Linked DNA regions of Tamandua tetradactyla. The protein of the gene in region 1 interacts with the protein of each later gene in a pairwise test. Links are inferred from orthologs where the notes say so. Each region holds a gene or a part of one and is shown on either strand. Other genes may lie near its edges.

The links.
Region 2: the proteins of GOLGA2 (region 1) and MCM7 interact in binary tests that used the Homo sapiens proteins (3 or more experiments, as listed by UniProt). The two-hybrid records come from large-scale screens. The link is inferred for Tamandua tetradactyla from reciprocal best matches to the Homo sapiens genes GOLGA2 and MCM7.

What each region holds. Positions count from the first base shown.
Region 1 is NC_135328.1:51,073,355-51,083,329, reverse strand, and holds the start of GOLGA2 (golgin subfamily A member 2), read left to right. Parts: upstream 1-5,935; 5' UTR 5,936-6,003; coding exon 6,004-6,087; intron 6,088-7,308; coding exon 7,309-7,419; intron 7,420-8,312; coding exon 8,313-8,393; intron 8,394-9,975. Other genes in the region: DNA repair protein SWI5 homolog, read right to left, coding at 921-1,015, 1,752-1,873, 4,833-4,982, 5,101-5,161, 5,297-5,512, 5,647-5,795. UniProt on the Homo sapiens protein: Peripheral membrane component of the cis-Golgi stack that acts as a membrane skeleton that maintains the structure of the Golgi apparatus, and as a vesicle thether that facilitates vesicle fusion to the Golgi membrane.
Region 2 is NC_135349.1:8,247,687-8,257,676, reverse strand, and holds the start of MCM7 (DNA replication licensing factor MCM7), read left to right. Parts: upstream 1-6,035; 5' UTR 6,036-6,112; coding exon 6,113-6,143; intron 6,144-6,468; exon of another isoform or gene 6,469-6,590; intron 6,591-6,646; exon of another isoform or gene 6,647-6,666; intron 6,667-7,065; exon of another isoform or gene 7,066-7,117; intron 7,118-7,304; coding exon 7,305-7,384; intron 7,385-7,557; coding exon 7,558-7,722; intron 7,723-7,881; coding exon 7,882-8,006; intron 8,007-8,079; coding exon 8,080-8,260; intron 8,261-8,452; coding exon 8,453-8,590; intron 8,591-8,894; coding exon 8,895-9,044; intron 9,045-9,243; coding exon 9,244-9,358; intron 9,359-9,445; coding exon 9,446-9,577; intron 9,578-9,815; coding exon 9,816-9,899; intron 9,900-9,990. Other genes in the region: TAF6 (transcription initiation factor TFIID subunit 6), read left to right, coding at 409-582, 878-1,075, 1,309-1,689; AP4M1 (AP-4 complex subunit mu-1), read right to left, coding at 2,011-2,235, 2,406-2,517, 2,658-2,708, 2,997-3,041, 3,347-3,441, 3,536-3,642, 3,810-3,863, 3,959-4,025 and 7 more. UniProt on the Homo sapiens protein: Acts as a component of the MCM2-7 complex (MCM complex) which is the replicative helicase essential for 'once per cell cycle' DNA replication initiation and elongation in eukaryotic cells.

The sequences.
Region 1 (9,975 bases):
ATAAGCCAAGTAAGAACAGAGATTTTCAGATGTCTCGTTCGCCAAAGTGTCCCCAGCACCCTGTTGAGTATATCTGGCATACAATAGGTAGGAAAGGCTGCCTGCTCCAGGTCATAGGACTGGAAGCAACAGGTCAAGCTGGAGTCTTACAATAGAGTTTATGCTTTTAACTACTAGGCTTCATTCCCCTCACATTTCTTTCTCCTTGGGCCCTGGTAATCCTCCTCTCTTTATCTATCTATACTTCCCTCCTTCTCCTACTCTGGGAACATTCCCCAAAGAAACACAGAGAAGCCCTCCCTGCAGTGGAATCTGGATGATGTCAGGCATTTCTGGAACAGCTGTTAAAACTCATACAGCAATTAGGCAGACAGTGCAAGTTCTGAACACTATCCTGAATGATCACTGGCCACCAAATATCAGAATGCCCACCACTCTGGCCATCCTCATGTCTCCTTGCATCCAGAGTAGGCTGTCCTAACCAGCTCAGACACAGGTACCTGTGGTTTGCTTAAAGCCCTCTGGATAGGGAGTTTCCAAAATACCTCTTTTAAGACATAAAGGGTTGCCTTTGCAGTTTCTGCCTGTTTAGCACTTCAGCCACTTGAAGTGGCCCTGGAAGACAGAGAGCCCTCAGTCCTCAGTCTACAAATGGACAAACCCATTCTCAAACTTCTTTGCAGCTCTGAACCGAGCTCTGTACTAAGCAAAAAGAAACCTAGGATTTCAAGTAAGAGTTTCCTGTGATCAGGGAAGGCAGAGACTGGTGAGAAGAGAGGTGGTGAGGCATTTGGAGAGTGAGGTAGCTGACAAGGATGGGAGGGTTGGCAAGTGAGAAGACCCAGGAGAAAATCCAACCGCCCCTGGGGGTAGGGATTCCCTCTGAGCCCAGGTTACTGATCCAGAGTCCTGCTACTCACCTAGTTTGCCCAGCAGCATCTGGCCTACATCCTTGATCTCATTATACTCGTGCAGCTGTAAAATGTGGTCCTCTAATTCATCCACACTGTAGCCTCTAGAAAGAAGGGTGGAGAGAGGGAAGAGAGACCCCTTAAGATAGCTAATGAGGACTCAAGGCTCAGATAGTAATGAAGCATCTGTTTAAAAAGTGCTTGTTATGGGTCTACTAGGTGATAGGAACTGGGGATATAGTGATGGCAAGACAGACCCTGCTACCATGAAGCTTAATGGATGGCAGGGTCTCTGTCCAGTCTCTTACTCCTGGCAAATGTTTCTTGTATCCTTAGAGAGGAGTGCCCCATCATATTAGTACTATGTGACCCTCACCACAGCTGAGTGGCTCACAGATGGGCACATGATCCAAGCTGTCTAGTGAGATTCTCTCAAATATGAAATGTGGATTTGAAGTCTGCTCAATCTCTGCCATGGGGCTGCAGCATGGTATAATGTAAAATCCAGGAGCTATAGAACATCCAGTTTCCCTTATGCATTGAAAACCTTGCTGAAGAAAGAGACTAGAGTATCTGTGCAGATGGATGCAGACGAAGAGAATGGGAGCCCAAGAGAGAGACCGGAAGAGTGACTGACTCCACTCCTGACAGCTTTCCAGTTTCCAGTTCTGGGCTCTCCTGAGGCCGACCAGCCTCCCTGCCCTGAAGGCCACTGAGTCACCATGAATCCAACAGCACAGTCCTGTTTTTACGCTAAGCTAGTGTGACCAAGTTTCAGTTACTGGGCACAAATCAAAAGTTTTCTTAACCATGTCGAGGAATCCAGCAAAGGGGACTTACTCAGATAATAGTTGGGAGATCTCCTTGTCCAACATGTCCCTCTTCTCTTTCAGCTTCTGAATGTCAAGCTGAAGAGAATCCTCGCTGGCTCCATTGGCCGGGTCAGACTTGGGAGACAGCATCTGAGTGGCAGAAAGTCATTAACTGGACTGGCCAATTATCTGTAATTCTGAGTCTACAAAGTGCCTCCCCCATTAATCACTCTACTTTTTTGTCGTGGTAATAGAAACCTACCTCCCTATTGAATGGGACTATATTTCCCAGCCCCCTTTAGGATTAGATGAGCCCTATGACTACATTCTGGCAAATGGAAGGCAATCAGAAATGGTGTATACAATATCTGGGAATCATCCTTCGAGGCAGAAGGCATGCCTTTCTCTGGCTTTTCCTCTTACCTACAGGCTGGAATGCAGATGTAATGCTGGTGTTGAACAACTATCTTGGAAGATGACATAGAAGCCATACATTGAAGTCATGGCAGGACAAGATAGAGGCATGGGTACTTAGTGATTTTTTTTTTCCACATGGGCAGGCACTGGGAATCAAACCCAGGTCTCTGGCATGGCAGATGAGAAGTCTGCCACTGAGCCACCATTGCCTGCCTCTTAGTGATTTTTAAGTCACTGTTATCTGGAGCTTTCTTTCACTCTCAGGCAAGTCCAATCCTAACTAATATACCTACCCTATTCCTCAATCTGACCCAAAAAATTCCGTTTCTGGTCACCTTCTTGGGTTCTCAAATCTGCTATGTCCCTGGAATTATAATCTCACTGGAGGGCAAAATACTTTCTAGGAGCTAGTTTTATCTTTGTCCTTTTTGTCCCTAAAGGCTGTGAAGGCTAATCTCAAAACAATTTGTTTTACGTGAAGTGTCTAGACAGAAGAGAATAAGGAAGACATGGTTCCTGTTCTTAGATCTGTGGCTTTTAACCAACAAATAGTGACAGCATTATCTGCCAGGCATTGGGAAAAGCTCCAGGAGCTTAACAATGGACAAGGCATCAAGCCTGGTCTTGTCTTCATGAAACATCAAGCCTGGCCCCAGATAGAAAAGACCAAACAATTATGCCCTTCCTCCAGACATTTCCACTGAAACTTGTTCTCACATGTCACTGCATACACTCTGTCTACAACGATAACTCCTCAATCACTTGTTATCCTTTACCCTGACTTTTTATAGCATTATCACCACCTGACATAAACATTTCATCAATGTTACTACTTTCATTGTCTGCCTTAAACCACTAGAGTATAAGCTCCATGAAGACAGGGACTTTCATTTGTTCAAAGCTGATTCCATAGTGTCTGTGACTGTACCTGTCACATAAAGAAGCACCCAATATTTGTCAGATGAATGACATATAATTAATCAACTAATTACAAGTCTAAAAAGTGTCCTGAAGTGGAAGCACAGGGTGAATCAGCTGAGCCAAAAGTGGGGAGAATGCTGAGAAAGCTGAATCCTGAAAGTATGGAGAAGGCTAAGAAAGCTGAATACGGAGGGATGAGCAAGCAAAAAGATGGCAAAAGAAAAGGATGGAAGAAAGGATTCCAGACAGAGGGGACAGTATATCCAAAGGTCCTTAGCCAGGGGACAGCACAATGTGTTTGAGAACTGAGAGTGGTTTCAGTGTGGGTGGAATGGGGTGGGTGAAGGGATAATAAAAGTGCTGTGAAAAATAATAAAAATAATTAACTGTGGTGCCATTAATAAGGAGGAGAGACAGTTTGAGTGACTAGGGGACCACTGATGTGAGGATGGTTGGAAAGGAAAGTAGAGGTATCCTGCTGGCAGCTGTTAAGTGTCCAGAGAGGTCCGGCCTAGAGAGAGATGGGAGAATCATCTGCACTGACATGAGCTGAAAGCACTGAAGTGAGATCTTTGAGGGAGTGTGTAGAAAAAACAATAGAGGGAGGATGGTGGAACCACAAGAATACACCCAAATTCATGTTAAGGAAGAAACAGGAGGCAGAGGAGCCAGCCAAGCAAGCAAGGAAAAACAGAGGAGGATCAGGATAAGGTATCTTCCAAAGAGGCCCAAAGAAGGTATTAGTTAAGAGCTAAGGATCTAGAGTCAGGCTGCCTCAGTTTAAATGCTGCAACTCCATCACTCCCAGGACTGTGAGATTTATAATCTCTCTGGAACTCAGAGTCCTCATCCGCTTCTGCCTCAAAGGTTGTTGAAAGGATTCAGCAAGATGAATCAACCACAATGATTGAGGCAAAGTAAGGGCTTAGTAAAATAAAAGACTTGACTTGTTAGTGATGGGAATGAATGTGCTAGGCAGAATCAGAAGACACAGGGAGGTCAAAGACAATGAATACTGAGACTCTCTGAAAGAAAGTAACATCAGGGTACTTTTAGAGAGAGGGTCAATCAACCTGGTACTTTTGGTGAACTTGTGGCTTCCCACCCACATCATCTGGCCTAATCTACCCTGTCAGTTAGCCCTTGCCTCTGACTTCACTACCACTGGGGAGCTCTCACTGCACTCCTAAGTCTGGGCTCCTCCTCACATAAATGTGCTCATATGGTCCTGGAATTCTGCCTGTTCATCATCCTCAGCCTGTGCCTCCTTGGGAGGCAGGGACTACCGCATACACTTGCATCCCTGATGCCAGCCTCAGAGCAGTTGCTTAATCAATGTTGAACGCATAAATGTGTACCAAGTATTTCACAGTCTAACTTGAGAGTGGGGGAAGTGGTGGGAATCCCATGGGGCAGGGGTGGGGTGGGGTGGGGGAGATAAGGGGAGAAGGCAAAGGAGGTCATGTTTTGGGGGTGGTTTGCTAGAGAAGAGGAGACAATTGCAGCTATGCCTGTTCCCGACAGAAGAGTTTTGGGTATGTTTAAAGGTAGGGCTGGGTGAAGGGAGAAACCAGTGAGCAGGTGAGTTGGCTGGTGCCAGAGACCAGCAAATACATCTGGGAGGCAGGGAGAGGGCAGGGCGGAGGGGATTCCAGCCACTAGCACAGAATTTGGCTTCTGACAGGACAGGACAATGATTCCCCCCCCCAAACTTAGCAGACAGGAGGAAAAAATGTGTGTAGGGGTGAGAAGATGAGGGATTGAGAAATACCCTGGAGTTTCTCGGCAGAATAAGGTCTGAGAGGGAAGATCTTTGCCTTTCTTCTGGCCGAAGCCAGTCGGTTCTGTCGGGTTTCTTCCGACCCCGCGGGGAAGGGAGGGGGACGGAGGGTGGGGCCACATCATCCAGTCCCAGCAGCCACTGCGAACCAACCGCTGGATGAGGGCTAGGAGTAGATCACCTGCCGCTGAGGACGGAGAGGAGGGCAAGAGGTAGTTAGGTACGAGTGTAGGGGGGGCGGGGGCACAGACATACTCACAGGGGATCTGAAGGTCCCGCGGCAACTAGTGGAAAGTCCTGGTTGAGTCCTGGAGAGGAATCTGAGGAAAAAAACTAGTTAGACTTCACGGGTGCTCTGGGAGGAAAGGGTGCTGTGGGGTTGTGGGAGGAAGAGCAGATGTGAAGTAAAAGCGACCCGAACTGGATCCAGCTGGGAGGGGTAGCGATATACTCACGAGATTAGGGTAGGTACCGGACCCTCGAGGAAGGGGAGGGTCCCAGATGGGGAGGGAGTGTCTGGTGGGGCGGTGGAGCGGGGTTTTGAGAGGGTGAGAAAGTCTGGAACCGTTGCGGAGTCAGGAGAAGGGCTGTGAGGGATTGAGCCTTCCCCTTTCTCCGCTCCTCGCCTACCTCCTGAGCCCAGGAGTCCGGGGTCCCCGGCTAGGGGGAGTCTGCGGTGGGGGAGGGTCCAGGACTAGAGCTGGAGATGGGTCTTAGATCTGAGGAGTAACGGTAACCCGGAGTGGGAAATGAACCGCCATAATGAGACCTGCGCGCGCACCCTGGAAAGGCGGGTCCGCCCCACCTCAGAGTAGGAGGAGGTAGCGGTTGCGCCCCGCCCCCAGGGTGGGAGGAGACGTCTGTTGGGCCCCGCCCCTCCAAGGCGGGCGGAGACAACGGTCGCGCCCCTCCCCCCAAAGTGGGCGGAGACGTGACTCCGCGAGGATCTTTCATTGTGAGCACACCCTCCCGGCCACGCCCACAGTGATATGGCCCCGCCCCTTTCCGTGTCATCTTTCTCCTCGCCCAATGGACGGGGAGATTTAGGCCACGCCCACATTCTATGCTGCTTAGTACCTCCCTGGTCCCTCCCTTCCCTGGCTCAGTCACACATCGGCGCGGTAGCTAGCGGAAGCGATTTCGCAGTGGCTGCTGGGATTAGATGATGTGGCTCCCCCGTCCCCCTCCCCTTCCCGAGATGTCGGAAGAAACCCGACAGCAGAAATTGGCTTCGGCCAGAAAGAAGGTAAAGCGCGCTGGGTCGCGGCTCCCGACCCAGCCCGGAGGCCCCTCCGACCCACCACACGGTGACCAGAGTCTGAACTGCCCCTGAGGCAAACGGGAAGAGCCCCTCGGCTCCCCTTGGCGCCCCTCTCGTCTTTTCAGCCAGTCCCGCCCCCTCGGCTGCCTAGCTCCCGCCCTCGCCCGTCGCTCCTGGGTGACTTTGGGCCGGTGACCCCCAGGATCCCTGCTCTGAGCGGGGCTCTCGGGTCCTGCTGCCCAGAACCGAGCCACCGTGGGCTCTTGGCCAGCTTGGGTTCCCGGTCTCCTGGGACCTCGGTCCCGGCGCTGGTCTCCCCTCCCCCACCGCCGAGCGGTGACTCGGAGGAGGGTAGGGAGAGATGGAATGCAGTTACGTCACAGTCCCCCTCGGAGCTGTCATTATCGCCATGGGACCAGCCTTTGATCTTCCGATCCGATCCCCAGTGTTCACCCCTTTCCGGCTTCTCTGGTCGCGGAGCAGATTACCAGCTTGAAGGGAACTCGGGACTGTGGGACATAGGCAGAGAGGTTTCAGGCTCCCATACTTTGGCTATACCGCATCCTTAGACATTGACAGCCCACACTTCACCGCTGATCTCAAAATGTTTACAACATCGCTTGGTGACAAGGGGAGAGCTTACTGTTGGCTTTTTCTCCCAGGCTTCTACTCTCCAGAGAGACTTTGAAATATTTCTTGTTGTCTACCTCACATTCTAATACCCTAAGATTCTGGGACCAGACTCCCCCTCATTTGATGCTCTTTAGAGTAAGATCTGCTTATCTTCTGTGCTATAGATCCTGGGAAAATGCATGAATTTCACTATTGGGAATCTTCTTCATGTCATCTTCTTGACTTAGGGTTCTCTGAAGTGTGCTTACTGTATGAAGTATAGAAAGGATCCCTATATCTAATTTCTAAATCATACAGTGTATTGGTCTTGCCCATTTAATAATTACTTTTCGATGTCCATCTCTGGTTTTTCCCCTTGGCAGCTATTGATTATGGGAGAACCCCAGAACTTCTAAGTCAAAAATTTAAATAACTTTTTTTTAAGCCATGTTACCTATCACTTGACTTTTTTGAGTCCATTTCTTCGGTAATTAAACGAAAATTATACACCCTGTAGAGTTGGTGTGGCATTAAATCAGATTGCATCCAGGGGCTTAGATTTCTCATGAGCGTCTCTCCTTTTCCTTTCTGCAGTTACGCGAATTTCAGATGAAAAACAATCTTCCTGTTCCTCCAAGAGTGAAGAAAAAAAAGATAGAAAATGGTCCTGAAACACCAACTTCTGATGACCACTCACCTGAGGATGTGAGTCTTGGCTGGCCAGGCTTCCGGGGATAGGGATGCAGAAAGAGCAGTAGAGGAGAAGGGTTAAGATTATGGAAGAGGAAGTATTAAGTGCTAGTTAAGAATTCTGACTTTGTCTTCCTCTGCTAAGGATGTGGTTTTAGAAAAATTGTTCAAGCTCTTTGGGACTGTTTTTGCACATCTGTAAAATAGAGATACTGTTTTATTTATATATTGTGAAGTTTAAATGAGAATTGTTGCTGTTTTTATAAAAGTCCTTAAGTACAGGGTCTGGTACAGAGTAAATATTCAATAAATGGTAGTTTCCATTTGACCTGTTGCTCTGGTGATTTTCCTCATTCCCAGCCTCAGTGAGAAGCCAAGCTGATGAGAACAGCCACTTGCTGTCAGGTTCTCCCTTTAGAAAGTCCCAACAGAGCCCCAAGGTGTGATGAAGAAAGCCCCAGCCACTAGGATTAGGAGAAGGTCTGAGTTCCGAGTCTCTTTGCCACCAGTTTGCCTTCAGAAAATCTCTTCCTCCCCTGAGCCTCATTTCCTCATCTGTAAGATGATATTGCTGGACTAGAGCAGCATCTTTCAAACTTTTTTTAGCTGTAGCTCCCTTTGTTCAAATGAACCCTTACTCAAAAGTGTGTTTCCCCCCCGTCTATGTGACTGCTTAATTTAGTGAACTTCTCCATTTATTTGTGTACATTGATTTCTGCCTCTGGCAAGACAGCAAGTGGCTGTTTGGAAGGACGGCACAGCCTGCGGTATTGATCCCCTCCTGTATCTTCTTCAGCATCCCATTTCCCTGAACCCACCTCTTCTTCGCTGTCCTGACTCTTACCTCTTTCTAAGTCACTTCTCTCTTTCTCCCCCCTCCCCCTATTTTCCTCCTTTGCTGCCTGTAGATTCAGGACTTTCTGAAGGTGTTGGTGTCCGACCTTAACCGCTCCAATGGGGTAGCACTACCCTCATTGGACAAGTGGAAGGTGAGGCAGTGCCAAGACCCCCTCTCTGGCTTGCTCTCTCCGCCTGTGCATGCTCCTGAGGCTTTTCTGGTTTGGGGAATTCTTTACTTCTAGCTTATTTTATGTTGCTGTCATTAACCTTCAGCCTGCTCATATCTTTTCACCTGCTTGATTGTTTTTTTCCCTTCCCCCAAGTCTTTTATCACCTTGGAGAAGGTGGTAGTGTATCTTAGGTAATTTAGGAATAACTTTCAGAGCAGGGATATAAGCTATTTGGGCCTCGGTATTGAATGTCCAGTGGTGCTATCAGACTAGGAGAGATTTTTTAAAAATCTTTGTCTTGCCCTTAGATCATCTATTCCTAGGGGGCCAGTAGACCACAAAGATGTTTGTGATTTTTCGAATTGAGGAATTCTTTTTGGTTTGAGTGTAGGAAATATATGGGTAAGAGATTATAGCTGAAAGAATTGAGGTTCTTTTTTCAGAAGAGCTCATTGTAAAGGCTGTGAGGTTAACCAAACAGATGAGTGGTTAGGATCTTCTGCTCCCAGTCTTTTCTAAAAATCACCTGAGCACTCAGCCATGTTCATTGGGCCATGCACTTTGCTAAACAGTGGAGAAAACAGATAAACAAGACGTGGTACACACTGAGGGAAGTAGGCCCCTCTGAAGTAAGTGAGGTAGAATGTGACAACATTACAAATGGTCAGTTAAAGTAGAGGTTAGTTCTGGATGGGCTTGAGGATGGAGGAAATGGCATTTGGTGCTGGTTTGAAGGGTAAAGGTGGGTAGTTTTCATCCATGTGGAGAGTGGGGGAGATAGGAATTCTAAGCACAGGGAGTAGTACAGGTAATGACTGGAATCATAAGCTCACAGGGCACCTTCCAGGAAGCCAGGGCCTGGAGTGGTGCAGGGTATCGGGGGTGCATAGGGCTAGGAGATGATCTCTGACCTCTTCCAGATGTGATGTTAGCACTCCCTCCTTAACTAACTTACCTGAGAGACATCTGCCAAGGCATAATAGAAGGGCTGTTTGAGGTTTCCCCATGAGGCATGAGGAAAGGGACTGAGAAAGGTTACTATCAGCTGGTGTTAGAAAGATTTTTTAAATCACAGGACTGTTCACACCCAGTTGGTCAGGTCTATCAAGCTGTTGTGACTTGCCTGGTTGATTTAGAGGAGAGGTGGCATGGCATGATGAGGGAAGCGCAGTGCTAGGATTCATGAATCCATGTGTTTTGCTTTTGTTGTGTGATGATCCAGTCATTTAGGGGATCTGGCACCTCAGGTCCTCATGAAGTTCTCAGAAGCCAGAGTCTTAGGGTCCAGAGAGAAAGCAGCCCTTTCTTCTGACACAGATGTAGCCTCTTCCTCCCCAGGCCCAGCTTCCCTGGGCAAGCTTTAGCCTCTCAAGGTCTTCCCTTGCCAAGCTTTAGCAGCTGTTCACCTTCTTTCCCATGGTGGAGGGAAGAAAGGAGAGCTAAAAAGGAAAGAGGCAGGTAGCCATGTTGATCACATCTACTACTTCATCACTGCCGTCCTCTGCCCAGAAGGGGCCAAGGGTTAGGGTCACTCTGGGGCACAAACTAGCTTTCTGAAAGA
Region 2 (9,990 bases), on another chromosome or scaffold:
TTTGTCTCATTTATTCAGAGCACATTTCAAAGGCCAATATTGTTTTGCAGATGGGAAAACAGAGGCACCGAGGGGTTAAGTAGGAAATAAAGAATCTGGACTCTCAAACGGTGGCTTCTAGACAGCACTGCCCCCTGATGCTTTCACATCACTCTAGGCCCATTTTGTGCAGAGCAGACTCTGTACAGGCTGACCATCCCCTTAGGGATGGCTCACCTGCATGTTTAGCGAATTCTCCATTCACACTGGTAGGAGCCTGAAGCATTCTTCTGAAGAAAAGCCACAGCATTCCTTTCACACACAGGCCTCCACCAGAAACATATGGAAATAATGGGAAATCACCCCTTTCCCATCCCTGTTCTGAGCACCAACCCTCCCTCTACATGCCTTTTCTTGGCTTCTCTGCAGAAACACTGTGCCCCAGTTCTGGCAAAGCTGCGCCCTCCGCCTGACAACCAGGATGCCTATCGGACAGAATTTGGGTCCCTTGGGCCCCTTCTCTGCTCCCATGTGGTCAAGGCCCGGGCTCAGGCTGCTCTGCAGGCTCAGCAGGTCAACAGGACTACACTGACCATCACCCAGGTCAGTGCCAGAGGGAGGGGGAGCAACCAAGTGGAAAAGAAGATGAGAGGAAATTAGAAAATGCTGGGGCATGACAGAGCTGTGATCCTTGCCAGGCCTGGGACTCACACACACACTCTGACACAAGCAGTCACTTTAAATTTTAAATTCCAGAGCTGTCCAACTCTGAGTCCAGGCTTCCTTAGTATATATGCCCCGCCCCCAGATGGGAACCAGAGCAGCAGCAAGAGGAGCCCAGGTGTTTCCTCGCCTTTTTTCTCTTGGGTTTTGATAGTCTCGCCTCTTCTTCCTATAGCCCCGGCCCACGCTGACCCTCTCCCAGGCACCTCAGCCTGGCCCTCGTACCCCTGGTTTGCTAAAGGTCCCTGGCTCTATTGCACTGCCTGTCCAGACACTGGTGTCTGCACGAGCTGCTGCCCCTCCTCAGCCTTCTCCTCCTCCAACCAAGTTTATTGTAATGTCATCATCCTCCAGTGCCTCATCCACCCAACAGGTATGTGGAGGTTGTTGGGGCAAGGGGTCTGGGTCACCCCAAAGCACCCTGGAGGGCCCCAAAGACAGAAGATGAAAGGGGCCCTTTGTGGGGTGCTGTGGAACCATCACTGCTTGGCCTGACATGGTCCCTGAGCTGGCAGTACTTTGTGAAGTGGACTATGACCCCTGGCTTCTGGGGAAAGAACCTCTGGTCAGAGGGCTCAAGGCCCTGCCTTTTCTTTCTTCTCCTAGGTCCTGTCCCTCAGCACCTCGGCCCCAGGCTCAGGCTCTACCACTACCTCTCCTGTCACCACCACAGTCCCCAGTGTCCAGCCCATTGTTAAGCTGGTCTCCACGGCCACCACTGCACCACCCAGCACTGCTCCCTCTGGACCAGGCAGTGTCCAGAAGTACATTGTGGTCTCTCTTCCCCCAACAGGGGAGGGCAAAGGAGGTCCCACCTCCCACCCTTCTCCTGTTCCTCCTCCCTCATCATCCCCTTCCCCCCTTGGGAGCAGTGCCCTCTGTGGGGGGAAGCAGGAAGCTGGGGATAGTCCCCCTCCAGCCCCAGGAACTCCAAAGGCCAATGGCTCCCAGCCCCCTGGATCTGGCTCCCCACAGCCTGCTCCTTGATGCTGTCATTTATCTGCTGTCTTCTACAGATTCCTACGTGCACACATACACACACACACACGTTGAGTGGAAAGAAGTAGTAGCCTACTTCCTTCATTTCCCTTTCTTTTTAGATATTGTACAGCCAGTTCCTCAGAATAAAAGTTTGGTTTGGTAAGTTCTGATCCACCTCAGTCTTTCCTGTGTTAGACACCACATAAGCCTCAAACCCATCAATCCTTCCTGATCTCTCAGGTCCCAGGACTCTCCCAGTCCAGATCCACAACCACAGGCCAGGAGCCTGGACCATACTTTGCTGCCTGCGTCCTCATCTGGGGATCCTCAGAGCCGGATGACGTAGGCATCGCTGTGGCTTAGGTGCCGCACCCACTTGTGGGGGTTGATGTTGCCACAGGGTCTGAAGGAAAGCCTGAGGAAGCGCACCTGGAGGCCAGAGCAGGTGTGCCGGGGAAGCTCAAAGGAGAGGCTTGCAGGGCCCAGCCCCAGAGGAGGATTCGGGGTGGAGGGCCCATGGCCAGGAGGCCCAGAGAGGCCTGGGACATCCATCTGTGAGGAGAGACAGGAGAGGAGTGCTGAAGGTTGGAGGGGAGCTGGCAGAGAGCCAAGAAGTGAGCACACTAACCACAGTGGAGGAACAAAACAGCAACTCTGGAGGCATGGTCAGGGCTGGAAATGGAGGCTGTGGGAGAGGCTGTTCAAGAACCAAGAGCTGATACCTGGAAAAGGCCTGAGAGCTGAGAGCCTCCTTGAACACGAGGTAGGTCCCAGCGAAGGGCTCCCTCCCCCAGCTCTGCCTTCTGTTCCGGGCTGCTCAGCTCCTGAGAAAGGCTGAGATTTGGAAAGGAAAGGGATTGGGCTCAGCCTGCACTTTCCTGGGATGGGGGTAGGGGGGCTGCAGGCAAGTTGTGCCCTCCTCCTACAGCACATCCTGCCGTCCACCCAGCTCCCTGTAGTGTGTACATGCTAACCTGATCACCCCTCGCGGCAGGGGAAGGTGCAGTCTGACGTTGAGTGCTTGGCTACAAAGGAGAAATGAATGACATGTGGGAGACTTGGTTTAATTCCCAGCCCATGCACCAAAAAAAAAAAAAAGAAATGAACGAAGTCAAGAAGGTAGAGTCAGCTTACCCCCATCTTTCTTTAAGGTCACACCTGGACATCAGCCACCCCATCCCCTTCCCAAACTCAAAGAGCCTCTAAATGAATTGGTTTCTGAGGCTGGTGGATGAAGGAAGAGGCAATGGGTATCTTCGCCCTGGCTCCTATGCCACAAAGCTGCACTAGCCCCAGTCAGCCCTAACTCCTACCTCTTTGCAGGCAGGTCACACCGTAACTTCAGGTAAACCTGGAGCCTGGGTGAAAGAATAAAACAGCACTACTTAGGACACTTCCTACCAGCACCTCACCATTCCCTACCTAGGGCCTCCACACATGGCTGTGTAGATTGTGAGCTGTGCCCCAGGAGAAGGGATGCTGACTGGGACCCAACCTGATTCCACTAGATAAGCCTTGCATATGTGGGGCTGAGTCCACTTGGGAGGGGTGCCCTCTGCTGATCTGCACTCCCTCACCACCATCTCTCCATAAGAAGACTGGAGGATATACGAGTATGGGCTTGAATCCCAAAGAAGTTCTAGAACAGGGAAAACAGTCTCACCTGCCTGAGCCTCGATCCCACTGCACAGAGGGAAAAAGCCGGAAGGGGAGAGGGGTGGGAAGGTCATCGGAGAGCTGGTATCGCATCACAGTCAGCTGCAACCAGAGAGGAGCAGAGATCAGTTTGGTCTCCTCACACCTGAACTGCCTCTCCATACTGGACAGAATATGCTGGGCCACCCATCCTGACCTCGCCTTGAGGTGGCTGCAAGCGCAGGATTCGATGAGATTCAAACTCATCCAGATGCACAGAACTGTGAAATGAGACCTCATCGACCCGAATTCCTGGCCCGTAACCTGGAAAGACAGACCCCTCTCTTAACCTACTTTGGGAGAGAAAAACAGGGAAGGGCCATCTCTCAGACCCAAATGCCCTTGCCTGGGCCTGATCTAAACCAATCCAACTTCTACGAGATCTTTGGCAGTGACCTATACTAACAGAGAAAGACCCACATTCTCCTCACCTCTCAGTTCTGATTTCCCCACACAAAATTCTTCTGTCAATCCGATGCGCAGCTCTGTCAGAAGAGAAAATACTAGGAAAGTCACCAAACACAAGTGCCACCAAGGAGCCTGTCCCACCCAGGCCTGGGGCCAATCTGCAGAGTCTCACCAGAGCCGCTAGGAAGGAAGCTCTTGAGTCGGATCTCCCCCTGCACGTCCACCTTCAGCAGTGAACCCTGAGAGAGGCAAGGCAGGGAGATTATAAAGCCCAGAACTGTGACCTCCCCAACATGTCTCTCGAGTGCCATCTGTCCTCAGTTCCAGAGTATGGGGTCCAAACTTACATTAGATGCTATCAGTACAGACAGTCTCTCCACCACATCCAAAAAAACTTCATTCTTCTGACTCTGAGGAATAGAGAAGATTTAGGTGGTTGGAGGCTGAACAGCCTGTGTTCCAAGATGGACAGACAGGAAGGACTGGAGAGTTGAGGCTAGGGCCTGGGGTTGGAGACTTGGGGTGAAGGAAGGGAAGGGCAGGATGTCTAGAGGAGGTGCAAGGATATGTAGGGATCTGGGACTCTGGTCCCCAGAAAATAAAAGAAGGGTCTGACCCTGCCAAGCCCTCCCTCACCTGGTCAGAGCGACTGGTGAGAACAGGGCGGCTGGCTGCGCTGCTGGGAGCCACCTTGCTCTGTTGTGTCTCAGCTCCAAACTGCAAAGCACCCAAAGCAGTTATTCCTTTGGTTTGATATTCCTAGCCAGCCCTCCTTCTCTCTCCCTGTCTTCCTCGTGTATCCTCTACTGACCAGGCCAACACTGCTGAGATCAAATAGGCTGAAAGGCTTGCTGACCACAGCTTCTGTCTGGATGAAGTTCTTCAGTATCTCTGTTGAGGTGGTCTGTACATAACCATAGTCCTATTGGTGAAGGAAGGAGTTGTGCGTGGTCAGGAGGACAAGGGTGAGAAATGAGTGGACTTGGCATCCCAACAACAGGTTTCCACGGGTAGAAGAGTGAATCTATCCTCAGGAAAACAGCAGCCAACTGAGGGAAACCCTTGTCCTTACCAGCACTTCGTCCAGAAGCTCATAGACAAGAGCCACGTTGCGGGAGATGGTCCCTTCACTGAGAGAGCCACAGTAGTCACCCAGGAGAGTGGCTAACCTGAGGAAACAAAAGGAGTGTGCATCCTCTCTTTTCAGATCCCCCCCCCCCCGCCGGGGCCCGCCCACCACACCCACCGGGAGAGCAGCTCTAGGAGGCTGAAGGGAGAAATGTTTTCTGAAGTCGTGGCTACCAAATAGAGGCCGCTGTGTCTGATGTGAATAAAATGACGGTCATCGTGGTGCTGAGACAGAGGCGGGAAAAGAGTTTTAGGAAAATCGTGGAGGTGAAGAGCCGGCAACCCTGACTTCATATCCTGCTTCCCCTACTTACTAACAATGGGACTTTGGGCAATACATAAAACCTCCCCACGCCGCAGCTTCCCCTGTGTAATTGGGATTAATACCAAAGACATGTAAGGAACTGTGCCTGGTACACTGCTGGCGTTCATTCAACGTTCATTAGTACCATTTGGGTGTGGGAAACAGCCCTGGATTCAGGAAGGAGGAGACGCCCACCCGGCACCCCGCCGGGGCCCGCGGATGGTTACCATGACAACCGGAGACTCGTCTCCAGGCAGTCCCGTCAGCTTCCGGTAGAAGAGCTCGGCCACATCTCGGCCGCCACTATCCCCGCGGACTGAGTGGGTGGAAGCGGAGTTAAGGGGCCGGCGATGCAGGCGGACCCTGGAGCACTACTGCTCCCTCCCCGACCCTTCTGCCTTGTCCCGCCCCGCGGGTCAAGGATACAATCTTTGTAGATGAGCGGGTCCCCCTTGGAGGACAGAATGAAGAACTGGGAAATCATGGCCGATCTGGGAAGTAGACAAGAGGACAGCGAATCTTGGGCCTGCCCCGCCCTCGGCCACGAAACAAAAGGACGCGCCGGGTCTGGCCCTTTACTAGCGACGCTCCGGGGCCGCGCCCGCTGCGACCGCGGGAAACCCGGAGCCCGCCCCGCCCCGTCCCTGACTGCCCGCCTGCCACTCTGCACAGGCTCGTCCGGTGATTGGCTGAGGCTGTGGCCCGCCGCGGGGGAGAGGGGCGGGAGGCCGTCGGCTCCGATTGGCCCGCACAGAGCGGCGCGGATCACGTGGGGCGCGACGTTTCGCGCCAATTTCGGTTGTTCTGCCGCCGTCTAGCGTGTGGACGGTCTTTGCTGTCCCGGGAGCCAAAGTTCAGAGCCCGCCAACTGCTACCGCGCGGCCCTGGGCAGCGATGGCACTGAAGGACTACGCGCTAGAGAAAGGTGAGGGTTCATCGCCCTGGAAGGGCGTTTTGCACGAGAATCCTCACCGCCAAAACCCGCTGCCGCAAGCTGGGCTCTTGGGGGGCCGAGGGCGGCGGGGCTGAGGCAGGCGTTGTCGGGGAGGCGCACAGGGACCCTCGGGGGTCGAAGGGAGCTGGTAACCCTGGTGGGGCCGCGGTGGGGGTGGGGCGGTTAGCAAACTCAGGGATCCAGAGTGGGGATGGCGCACGGGTGAGACCCGAACGTCAGGTAGCCCTGCCTGGGCGATTCCAGCCACGGGGCCCGGGACCTTCGGACCCGTTTCCCGCCGGCTGTGGGCACTCACAGGTTCCCGCGTCCTTCCGAGACGCGCCGAAGCTCCGGGGGCGGGAACAGTAGGGCCGCTGCGCCCGCGGATTGGCCGCTGTGGGCCAGCCTCCGAGCGGAAGTGAAGACGGGACGGAAGTTGCGCGGCGCGGAGGGAGGGCGTGTCGTGTGTAAACAGTGTCCTTCCGCGCGGTAGCCTCGGAGAGAGCTACTTACGGTGGGGGCGTGCCTGGAATTAGGGGGCCTAGCGGGAGGTCGAAGGAGAAGGTAGTGGGATGGGACGAAGGGGCTTTGGATGTGCTGGCCAGTGGCCAGACATGCCTCCCGCCTTGGGCGGAGGAATCCTGGGCTGTGAGGCGGCTAGATTTGGGGCCCATGTGCTTCTTTGTTTACTAAGAGCGGAAGCAGTGGCGGGGAGAGGGGGTGGGGTGGAGGACGGGCCTAGTGGCTGAGAGCCCCGTGAGAGCAGAGATTTAGGGGACCGAGAGAAAGTGGGAATCACATGGGTGCAGGAAAAGCCGATAACCGAGAGACCCAAGTGTGTGGTAGGGCGTGGAAGGCAATTTGGAAAGGGTACTAAGGTTTCGAATTGTAGCAGATACTGGGATTCCCCTTGCGGAGAGTGTTGGGTAACACTCTTACCTGCCAGAGGTCCTTCATTCTACCAGGTAAGACCAGACTAATGCAAAGGAATTATGCACAGGTTTGGGAGAAACACGTAGATTTACTTAAAATTGTATATAAATAACTACTGGACATTTTAAGTAAAAGTGAGGTAGATTCCCAACAGAGGGTTTTGTAGTTAAGATACCTGAAAGAAAGGTTGTTCTTAATGATCTTACATTTACATTACAGAAAAAGCTAAGAAGTTTCTACAAGAGTTTTACCAGGATGAGGAATTTGGCAAGAAACAGTTCAAGTATGGGAACCAGTTGGTAAGTCTAAGATTAGATGTAGTGAATTGGGTATTGCTCTGTCTTAAAAGCTGCTCTTTATTCACTTTGCATGCCCAGAGCTGTTCCTTGAGCACATGGTGGTGGGTCCTCGTGTGAATACGGTGTATAAAGTAAACTAGGTTCTAAAGCATTGCTGTCCCTTTCCTTCCCAGGTCCAACTGGCTCATCGGGAACAAGTGGCCCTATACGTGGACCTGGATGATGTGGCCGAGGAGGACCCTGAGTTGGTGGACTCAATTTGTGAAAATGCCAAGCGCTATGCAAGGCTTTTTGCTGATGCCGTACAAGAGCTGTTGCCTCAGTATAAGGAGAGGGAGGTGAGTGGTTGGAGAAAAACGCAGGGTAAGGAACTTATGTTTCTGCCAAAAAGGTTCTCAGCTGGCAGAAAGGAGAGACTTTGGCTTCTGCCTGGGGTCCTTGATAGTCCTGTCTTTCCTCTTCTTGCCACTAATTTTTTGTCTTACTCCTTCCTTTAGGTGATAAATAAAGATGTCCTAGATGTTTACATTGAGCACAGGCTGATGATGGAGCAGCGGAGCCGGGACCCTGGAGCCACCCGAAGTCCCCAGAACCAGTACCCTCCTGAGCTTATGCGCAGATTGTGAGTGGTCTCTAGGGCTGGGTGTTAGAACTTGTTCTCCAGGACCCTACTAATGACTGCTTTCCCTACTTAGTGAGCTGTACTTTCAAGGTCCAAGCAGCAACAAACCTCGTGTGATCCGGGAAGTACGGGCTGACTCTGTGGGGAAATTGGTAACCGTGCGTGGAATTGTCACTCGTGTCTCTGAAGTCAAACCAAGGATGGTGGTGGCCACTTATACTTGTGACCAGTGTGGGGCAGAGACCTACCAGCCGGTATGTGAGGAATAGGAAGGCAATTAAGTCTTCGTAGTTTTTGTAAGGGTTGCTTTTGTCTCCTCCTCTCTGTGCTAATTGTAGAACATACCTGTGTGCTTGCTTTTCTCATTCTTTTCCTGGTATGAACAGTCCTGTGATTAAGGGGCTCTTTATCTTCTGGTTTTCTTTGGTCTTTTTCTCAAATCCTAGATCCAGTCTCCTACTTTCATGCCTCTGATCATGTGCCCAAGCCAGGAGTGCCAAACCAACCGCTCAGGAGGGCGGCTGTACCTGCAGACACGTGGCTCCAAATTCATCAAGTTCCAAGAGATGAAGATGCAGGAACATGTGAGTTTGGGTTGTTTGGCCTATAGCAGGTAGAGGAGAAAGTCCACTCTAACCCTGCAGATGCTAGAGTGGTAAAAAGAAAGGAGAAAAACAAGGAAAGCTAGAGCAGTAGGGAAATTAACTTTAGTCGGAAGTTTCTGATTGGGTTAGATAGAGGTAAGGGAGATCTTGGCTTCCCTCCTAGGCCCTTCTCAGGATGGTAGGTTGAGAGAAGTAGAGGAGCAGGATGCCTGGGCAGGAAGGTTAGGTCTCTCTGGGCTTACATTCTTTTCTTTTTGCTGTCCATATCCTTCCCCTCCCCTAGAGTGACCAAGTACCTGTGGGCCATATCCCTCGAAGCATCACAGTGTTGGTAGAAGGAGAGAACACAAGAATTGCCCAGCCTGGAGATCACGTCAGTGTCACTGGTATCTTCTTGCCAATCTTGCGCACTGGATTTCGGCAGGTAGTACAGGTAAGAAAAGAAGTTTAGAATAAGGGGGAAATGTTGCTTTTGCCCCCTCACCCAGTCACTCCTCCCCCACAGAAAAGATTACCAACAGCAGACACCGATGAAATAGTACAAAAGGTCTGTCAGGAAATTCTCGGGGAATCAATAGTAGATGAGTTAGTTAAAGGGATGTCACCAATATCCTGGTGTTTTCTTGCCCAAGGGTTTACTGTCAGAGACTTACATGGAAGCCCACCGGATTGTGAAGATGAGTAAGAACGATGATGATGAGGCCGGGGCTGGAGAACTGAGCAGGGAGGAGCTGAGGCAGATTGCAGGTGAGGGGCCAGGGGAAAGGTTGGGAGTTGGAGCTTCCTGGCCCTTTTTCTTTCCCAGTGAATTCTCTAATCTTCATTTTCCTATAGAGGAGGATTTCTATGAAAAACTGGCAGCCTCCATCGCCCCAGAGATATATGGGCATGAAGATGTGAAGAAGGCACTGTTGCTCCTACTGGTGGGAGGTGTGGACCAGTCTCCTCGAGGCATGAAGATCAGAGGTAGGAGAGACGAGGTAGGAGAGAGGCTGAGGTCAGTGTAGTCGTTGGGGGAGAAAAAGGAAGACATGGGCTGGTGTGCCTAGAGGCCACATATAAACAGTGCATGTCTTGGCTTTATTGGTTAGGATAGGCTTAGAAGAAACAATGCTGGCTCTCGGGGCTCTGGGCATGGATTTTATTTTCTCTGTTGTTGGATGACTTGCTCTGAGAGGTCACTTGGGGTCTTCTTCCCCTCCAGGCAACATCAACATCTGCCTAATGGGGGATCCTGGTGTGGCCAAATCTCAGCTCCTGTCTTATATCGATCGACTGGCCCCCCGCAGTGAGTAATCTGACCTAGGAGAAGTGAGTAGGGGGACAGGGCCACAGTATTGTTCTGTTCTGTGAGGAATCAGAAGATGGGAGTTGGGGGT